2 linked regions of the Neurospora crassa OR74A genome follow. The protein of the gene in region 1 purifies or fractionates together with the protein of each later gene. This does not show direct contact. Links are inferred from orthologs where the notes say so. Each region holds a gene or a part of one and is shown on either strand. Other genes may lie near its edges.

The links.
Region 2: the proteins of por (region 1) and hsp60 purify together in Saccharomyces cerevisiae (affinity purification with mass spectrometry, with the first as the bait; 3 studies listed by BioGRID). This does not show direct contact. The link is inferred for Neurospora crassa OR74A from reciprocal best matches to the Saccharomyces cerevisiae genes POR1 and HSP60.

The regions. Positions count from the first base shown.
Region 1 is NC_026505.1:5,560,850-5,565,317, reverse strand, and holds por (outer mitochondrial membrane protein porin), read right to left. Parts: upstream 2,973-4,468; 5' UTR 2,636-2,972; coding exon 2,591-2,635; intron 2,285-2,590; coding exon 2,162-2,284; intron 2,024-2,161; coding exon 1,993-2,023; intron 1,636-1,992; coding exon 1,133-1,635; intron 1,062-1,132; coding exon 912-1,061; 3' UTR 522-911; downstream 1-521. Other genes in the region: NCU04305 (hypothetical protein), read left to right, coding at 1-40; NCU04303 (asparagine synthetase 2), read right to left, coding at 3,675-4,468. UniProt on the Saccharomyces cerevisiae protein: Non-selective voltage-gated ion channel that mediates the transport of anions and cations through the mitochondrion outer membrane.
Region 2 is NC_026502.1:3,011,449-3,015,928, forward strand, and holds hsp60 (heat shock protein 60), read left to right. Parts: upstream 1-1,457; 5' UTR 1,458-1,602; coding exon 1,603-1,683; intron 1,684-1,764; coding exon 1,765-1,906; intron 1,907-1,983; coding exon 1,984-3,485; 3' UTR 3,486-3,939; downstream 3,940-4,480. UniProt on the Saccharomyces cerevisiae protein: May participate in assembly and/or disassembly of proteins imported into the mitochondrion. HSP60 are ATPases and have affinity for unfolded proteins.

The sequences.
Region 1 (4,468 bases):
TGGGAGTGGAGGGGGAAGTAGGAAGCCGACTGCTGTTTGAGCTGTGGGGATGATGGGTAGGCATTATGATTTGAGCTGGAAGCAGGTTGAACAGGACTGCGGGACCACAAGAGTAACAGAATTGTGGTAGGCCCAAGTGACAGAAATACAGGTAACGGAGTTCTGCAGTTAGAGAAGAGCTTTGTGTGACAACAGACTACATTCATAATTCAGCTCTTGAGAAGATGATGAGAAGTTGATGAAGCTTGAACTGTGTGCCGAGAAGATCTGTTCCAATTCAATACGCATCTTTGCATGCTGGGTGTTCGCCGTACTAAAGGTACCTATCTATATATAGCTAGTATCGTATCTCCTCTAGTCGAGGTGTAGGGAATCGATTTGCGGACAACACGTTGAATAAGCTCTATCCCTCCAGCTTTAGTTAACTGGCTGGGTTTAAGCCTTGCTTGCAGCAAAGAATGCCACCAACAATTACATGCTGATGCTTCACTTCATTGCACAGCCCTTTGGAGTTTCAACGGTGTTTGAAAAGTAAGTACTGAATGAGCGTGTTTGAAATCGCTATGGGTATTTATAATCTAAGTAGTGTAAAGATCGCGCTTGGTTTCCGTCTCCAGCCTAATTACAGTAACCATGTCCATCAAAGACGCTACAACTCTATCAAGAACTTTTGGCCCTCTTCGTTACACAAAAGCCCAAACCAGTTATACACAAACTCATCCTATCAGTCAGCCACCCGAAGCAGGGCGCAACGTTCGTCATCTTCACTATCTTCATAAAAGAAATAAATATCACTACTGGAAGGGGAGGCTCCACGATGCCAGCAAAGGGGGGTTATCTATTCCAGTTGAGAATTTGTTCGAAGGAATACTATTACGCCGCTGCTTCTTCACATGTGTCCTGCGATTACTCTAAGACTCGAAGGTGAAGCTGGTGCCGACCTTGTGGGTGGCCTGGTCAAGCTTCTGGGTATCGAAAGAGGCACCAACACCGAGGGTGACGCCCTCACGGAGGAGAACATTGTAGGCAATGGCAGCGACACCACGGTCGTTGATCTTGCCCTATACGGTTGGAAAGAAACATCAGGTCAGCATACAGAAGTTCCATAAACGGAATGACAGCAATAACATACCTTGACGAAAGAGACGGGGTCAATGCGGTACTTGGTGGCGACCTCGAGGCCGACGGTGTTACCGGTCTTGGAGTTCCAGGTGGCCTTGGAGCCGGCCTCAACCTGGGAGTTGACCTTGTGGTAGTAAGAAGCGGAGAAGACGCTCAGGTTGTCAGTAGCGGTGATGGCAGCGCTGTAGGTAGGGGCGTGGTAGCCGACAGCGGCGCTGTAACCAGTGATGGCAGCCTTCTGGACATCGTAGCCAGCGGAGGCACCAGCGAGGAAACCCTCGTGGCCGACAATGGCGTCAATGTTGGCGGTGGGGCCCTTGAGGAGGTCGAAGAAAGCACGGCCGTGGAAGTTGCTCTGCTTGAAGTGGAGGTTGAACTTGGCGCCGCGAGCGTTGGTGGCGGGGAGGAAAGAGAAGATACCCTCAGCCTTGAGACCCTTGGCGAGGTTGTCGGCCATCTCGACCTTGGTCTCAAGGGCGTTGGCAGTGTTCCAGGTCTGGGTGACGGTCAAGCCTGTTGTTCGCCAGTACATTAGCATTGTCGTGAGGTTCGCATACGGATAATGGAGAAAGCTGAAGTAGAGGGGTCGTCCCCGAACTCGAGGACCGATGACGCCGCCTAGAGAGAAATTCAAGTCTACCAGCGGCCGAACACGCGCTGAAGGCCTCTGCTTTGGTTGTTTCACGTTGGCAGTACCATTGTCGTGGGCGGCTAAACTTCCGTCGGGATGACAATTCCTGGCCTTTTCGTCTTTGTGGACGCGTCTGTGAACAATGCAAAAGCCAGGAGGTAGTGGTGCGCCGGGAGGAAGGGGACCAAAAGGGGGACCAGAAGAAGAAGACAGAGATGTAAGAGAAGAGTGATATGTACCATTGGGCTTGTCGGTGAATTTGCCCTCGAGCTATCAGTCACGCAAAAGAGGTCAGCTTGGTCCGTTGGCAACATGAGAGAAGGGAGGGCGTTTGGCGCAACAGCAAGGTGGTATGATGCTGTCGCGGCATTGCGCCGAGAGCCCCAAGGGAGGGAGGAGGTAACGTACAGCACCGCTGGTGACCTTGTCGTGTGTGGACTTGCCGGTAACCTTGAAGGCGACATTGTTGGGGGTGTTGGACTTGACCTCGATGGTGCCGGCAGCGAGGTGGTAGAAGTCCTTGTTGAGGAGCTATATTGCGCGCAAAGAAGTCCATGGTTAGCGACACATTATAGTGCGTGCATGGGGACCAGGGCCCAATCATTCAATCATGGTGGGGGTGGAGGAGGATGACGATGTTGCTTCGTGGACATTGGCATCGACGAGCTATCGCGAGAGGGGGATGTGTAGGTAGGTATGGGGAAATGCCGCTTCAGTTTTGGAGCTTGTACAGCTTTCTCCAGCCAAACAGACAAACACGTCTCTCGATAACATCGATCGAACAGGTCGCCGTCATAGCTCGGGTGCGGAGCACAGGGAGGCGTGATTTTTGCTTACGTCGTTGGCCGACTTGGCGATGTCAGAGAAAGCGGGAACAGCCATTGTGAAAGATGTTGTGTGAGGGCGACACGGGTATGATGGTGAATGGAGAAAGTGAGGTTGCGGAGTTCAAGAACGCGAGCTGGAGACGGGAGTCGGGAGAGAAAAGGCTTGCGGTTATGTTGCGCGCGGCGGGGAGCAGCAAGCTCAGTCGGGTCGGCTGCGACTGACGGCGGGGGGGCCTCTCTCTGGTGGGTTCTGGCGAGCCTGGCGACTGGGTTGGGAAGTCGGCGTCGGGTCTGGGAAGCTCCAGCCGAAAAGTGGAAATGGAAATGTTGGGAACACCAGAGACACCCCAAGACCAGGTGCAATGTCCCGATAAATTTCTTAGACGGAGTCGTGATTGGTCTTTCTCGCCGTGTGCATTTGGCAGCTCGGCAGCGCTAGTAGGCTCGCCATGACAAGCTTGAAGCAGCACCAATCGCGACCCCACGCCATTGACGAAACCAGCCCGTTCATGCACACCATTAACCCTAACCCCTTTCAGCGTCATGGCCCCCTTTCACGCCTTCTCCAAAGGTAAACAATCAGGGCACAGACTGAAGCTGAGGCAAACCATATCATCTGCAGTCAGCCCTTTCATCTCGAGACCGCAAGTGCATTTGTGTCGTCCGGAAAAGGCCCGCATCTCATAGCACCCACATAATGCAAGCATCTTTTATCTATCGCATACGCATAATTGTCATCCCCTTTTCTCGTACTCACATCTTCATTACCGTCTGTTGCTTGGAATAGGTCTTGCTTAGGTTGTTTCACTTGTCGTTCGTGTATTGCACCCGAACCTTGCTCAATACGAAGTCAGTCCCATCCAAACGGTCACCATTGTTCACAAACATGCCAATTGCTACATAGAGTTTTGAATCACTTTTTGTCTTCATCTCTATGCTGGGTTAATGGCTAGTATAGGTATACGCGATCCGTTTATTGTGACCCCATATAACGCCCTGCATTGTAATCCCGATGCCAAGCTTTTAAACATTCCAGTCCCCATTTTCTTTATCCATGGTTTCCCTTTTTGGTTTTATTATTTTCTTGTTTTGCTTTACTCGTCCACGTGGTCATACTTGGCTTGGTGAATGGAGATGGCTCTGCCACTGGGGTCGGTCTGCTTGACCCACTTGGGAGTCCACCTCATGACGGTAGACGCGCACGAAGGGGGGAAGTGCTCGTCGAACATGCAGCGGTACCAGTAAGCCTCCTTGGTATCGGGGATGTCGTCACCCCACTCGGGCTTGGGGTTCTTCATCATCTCGTCAGTGACTTGGAGCTCGGCCTGGTCCTTGAGAGCGTCGATCCATCCGTAGCCGACACCGTCGGAGAACTGCTCCTTCTGGCGGTAGAGGATGTTGTCAGGGAGGTAAGCACCCTCGGGCTGGTCCTTGGTGTCGAAGGCCTTGCGGAGGATGTACTTCTCGAGCTTCTCCTTGGTGATCATCTTCTCCTGGGGATCGATGTTGAGAGCAACCTCGAGGAACTCCTTGTCGAGGAAGGGCACACGGGCCTCAAGACCCCAAGCAGAGGTGGACTTGTTGGCGCGCAGGCAGTCGGCCAAGTGGAGGTTCTTAACACGACGGACACACTCCTCGTGGAACTCCTCCTTGTTGGGAGCGCCGTGGAAGTAGAGGTAACCACCGAAGATCTCGTCAGAGCCCTCACCAGAGAGAACCATCTTGATACCCATGGCCTTGATCTTGCGAGAGAGGAGGTACATGGGGGTAGAGGCACGGATGGTGGTGACATCGTAGGTCTCGAGGTGGTAGATGACATCGGAAAGCGCGTTAAGACCATCCTCAATAGTGAAGGTCATGACGTGGTGCTTGGTGCCGAGGAACTTGG
Region 2 (4,480 bases), on another chromosome or scaffold:
TGTCCACCTAACTGCAATGGAGTCATCTACTTTGACGTTCGTTGACGTTCGACGAGAATTGGCCAATCGAGGTGGGTACTGGCAACGCCAATTGTTAAGAATTGATATGATGGTTTCGCAACTGAGGGAGAGAGAAATAAGGTAGAGCATAAATGTATATATGCTATGAACCCAAAGCAATATCCAGGGAGTGTGCACAGTGAAGTGGTTGAAACGGAGTTTGATAGACTGGTGAAATCTATGATAGTCAGCGATTTATGAAGACGCTGTGATCAATAGCAGAATCGTCTGTTTTGGAAGCGACTTCATGATGAACAGAAGTTAAAGCGTGATTTGCGAGCGACTGAGTATGGGGCAAGAGGACTTCAAAGATGATCTTTGATGAGTGGTCTTCTGGTTGAGACATGGGAAAAGAGCAATCAAGGCTTGTGATTGGCTCCTCAAAATTTCATGCTAGGGACGTGTTATACCGAAAGGCGTATCATACAGCCGAGCATCGAACAGTAGAGGTAGTCAACTCTTTCAGAGTCCAACGGCGGGAATGAAGTGATCTCAGATGCCAGTCTCATGCCAGTTATGAAACTTAAGTCCGCACGTCAACACACAAATGGAGACGCAGACATGTTGAAGGAGAGAACAAGATCAAATATCATATCGCAATCCCGTTATCTGCTCCAACATGCTTGAATGAATCAAGAAGCAAAGCAGGCGTGTAGGATGGGCCGAACAGGGATTCGTAGGAATAGGTCATGAACTTGAAGTTGTCGAGTTGCCAGAGCATATGCACATACGAGGAGTTGTGTCCGAATATTTCGACCTGTGAATGCTGGCGCCGATGATGCCGGGGATGCCGAGTTGTGAAAGGCCGGTCGGTGTTGAGGCTCAAGTGGGAGGAGACGGGTTTGCCAAGACCGACCAAGACGGTCCAGGGGGGTTCGGTTGCCGGGTAATTCTGGGGACTGCCTGCCGAGAGCGAGGTGCGTCCCCGGGGAAGAGGAGCGACTTTGTTGACATGGAAATGCATGGACGTCAGAGGATCCATCGAGCCGCTTACTCACCGGTCGTCAATGTCTGAATGTCTAGATGAACTGGCCATTTTTGATCAATTCAATCCAAACCGTCTCGAGGCAGTTGACAGTCAAGAAAAGGGGGTGAGCCTCAAAGTTGCGTGTCCAATTTGTCAAGTCAGAACCTCGATAGGTATGCTGCGCGACATAAACACTGAGTGCCAGTGATAGTGAATGAGGGGGAATGATGCTCACCTGGGCACTGTTGGGGACTCCCTCCCAGCAGCCAATGGTGGGGTGCAGATGGTTCCAGAAACAGCGACAGCAGCGGAAATGGAGGGAAAGCAGCAAAGCCGCTAACCCACAAGCGACTAGCGGCAGCGGGGAGCTCGGGCCTTTGGAGATGTTTAAGTCCAGCATTTTTTTCGAACGCCGACACGCCCACGGCCGCACTTTTCTTCCCCAGTTCTTTCGGCAGTCCGCGATCCTAGCTTTCCTTTGCTCTCTTTTCCCCTGAAGTCAACCGTCGTGATACCCCCGTGATCCTTCTTTTTTCTCTGTTTGTAGTTTCCTTCCTTCACACAATACCCCCAAAATGCAGCGCGCGTTGACCAGAGCTTCCGTCGGCAAGGCGGCCACTCGTCTTCCCGCCCAGCAGCTCCGCTTTGCTCACAAGGTACGATCCGGGTCCCGGCCATGCCGTCATGGCTATCCGATGACAATTGGCGCATACTGACAGCTCTCGCCCACTACACAGGAGCTCAAGTTCGGTGTTGAGGGCCGTGCCGCTCTCCTCGCCGGTGTCGAGACCCTCGCCAAGGCCGTTGCCACCACTCTCGGTCCCAAGGGCCGCAATGTCCTCATCGAGTCCAGCTTCGGCTCCCCCAAGATCACCAAGGGTTAGTATACCATGTCTCGGGGTGTGATGGGGAAACATGGCATGTGTGTCAGAGTGACTAACCCCTCCACCCAACAGATGGTGTCACCGTCGCCAAGTCCATCAGCCTGAAGGACAAGTTCGAGAACCTCGGTGCCCGCCTCATCCAGGAGGTCGCCGGCAAGACCAACGAGGTCGCCGGTGACGGTACCACCTCCGCCACCGTCCTCGCCCGCGCCATCTTCTCCGAGACCGTCAAGAACGTCGCTGCCGGCTGCAACCCCATGGATCTCCGCCGCGGTATCCAGGCTGCCGTCGAGGCCGTCGTCGAGTACCTCCAGGCCAACAAGCGCGATGTCACCACCTCCGAGGAGGTTGCCCAGGTCGCCACCATCTCCGCCAACGGCGACAAGCACATTGGTGAGCTGATTGCCTCGGCCATGGAGAAGGTCGGCAAGGAGGGTGTCATCACCTGCAAGGAGGGCAAGACTCTCTACGACGAGCTCGAGGTTACCGAGGGTATGCGCTTCGACCGCGGCTACGTCTCCCCCTACTTCATCACCGACCCCAAGTCCCAGAAGGTCGAGTTCGAGAAGCCCCTGATCCTCCTCTCCGAGAAGAAGATCTCCCAGGCCTCCGACATCATCCCCGCCCTCGAGATCTCCAGCCAGACCCGCCGCCCCCTCGTCATCATTGCCGAGGACATTGACGGTGAGGCTCTTGCCGTCTGCATTCTCAACAAGCTTCGCGGCCAGCTCCAGGTCGCCGCCGTCAAGGCCCCCGGCTTCGGTGACAACCGCAAGTCCATCCTTGGCGACATTGCCGTCCTGACCAATGGTACCGTCTTCACCGACGAGCTCGACGTCAAGCTCGAGAAGGCCACCCCCGACATGCTCGGCTCCACCGGCTCCATCACCATCACCAAGGACGACACCATCATCCTCAACGGTGAGGGCTCCAAGGATGCCATTGCCCAGCGCTGCGAGCAGATCCGCGGCGTCATGGCCGATCCCTCCACCTCCGAGTACGAGAAGGAGAAGCTCCAGGAGCGTCTCGCCAAGCTCTCTGGCGGTGTTGCCGTCATCAAGGTCGGCGGTGCCTCCGAGGTTGAGGTTGGTGAGAAGAAGGACCGCTTCGTCGATGCTCTCAACGCCACCCGCGCTGCCGTTGAGGAGGGTATCCTCCCCGGTGGTGGTACTGCCCTCATCAAGGCTTCCGTCCACGCTCTCAAGAACGTCAAGCCCGCCAACTTCGACCAGCAGCTCGGTGTCACCATTGTCCGCAACGCCATCACCCGCCCCGCCAAGACCATCATTGAGAACGCCGGTCTCGAGGGCTCCGTCGTTGTCGGCAAGCTCACTGACGAGTTCGCCAACGACTTCAACAAGGGCTTCGACTCGGCCAAGGCTGAGTACGTCGACATGATCCAGGCCGGTATTCTCGACCCCCTCAAGGTCGTCCGCACCGGTCTCGTTGACGCCTCCGGTGTCGCCTCCCTCCTCGGTACTACCGAGGTTGCCATTGTTGAGGCTCCCGAGGAGAAGGGCCCCGCTCCCATGGGTGGCATGGGCGGCATGGGCGGCATGGGTGGCATGATGTAAGAAGGACAAGGAAATTACAAACTACAACTGTGAATCACACGGTCAGGAGATGAAAAATGTGTCTTTTTCTTTATTTTTACCTTTGATTTATGGCGACAACATGGGTTTGGGGGGCATCGGGCTTGGTGTTATCACGGACTGTAAAAAAAATGTGTGTCATGTAACTTTCTCTCCTCTCTACCTTTTCTCTTCGTGTGTTCTTACTAGCATATTCCGGCGGGCATTGTTTGGATGATGATGATGCTCCTTGTACTATAATCTACGGACCACAGAGGAGGGTTAGAGTAGAGCAAATCATGAGAATGAATGAAACTGTACAATACTGCTACTGATGTCTCCTTGAATAATCCGAAAGCTGTGCAACCATAGTTTTGGAGGTGCGTACCATTTCTTGGAATATTACGCATTCACCTTTAGGCAGCTGTTGATAGTGTTCAGCGAAGCTGATGTATTACTAGGAAGGCATATCTTTTGATACTCAATTGTCTGGCATGCGGACATTTGCTGATATTGAAGCCTAAAAGTCCGTGAGAAGCTTGCGTTGCCATGGTGGCTGTGAGATATCAAGATGGGTTGGTTGTCAGAACTTGGAAACGCATTTGTGAATTGGATGAACGTCGATGTGATGGGAGCTTGGGCCAATCATTTGTTTGGTGGTGCCCGGTTGACAGAGGTTGACGAATTCAAGGTAATGTGGAACAGAAATTGCATGGTGCAACACTGAAACGGCGCCAAGTAAACATGTTTTAAGTGTAGTGGGACTCTTTTACCAGGTGGCAGTCTCCCCGTCGCTGCAGAGGCTCAGAGCTGTCAACTCGGTGTGCAAGCCACATGGCCAACCGTCTGCTTTCGTTTCGCAGACGACAACGAACTCCCGTCGACATGGAGACAGCACTCAGCTTCAGGGCAGTTAGGCTGTTGACGACGGAGCTGACTGTCGACGGAACAACAAGCAACCCCACCATCTCATAAGGATTCCTTCCAGGCGGTGGCCC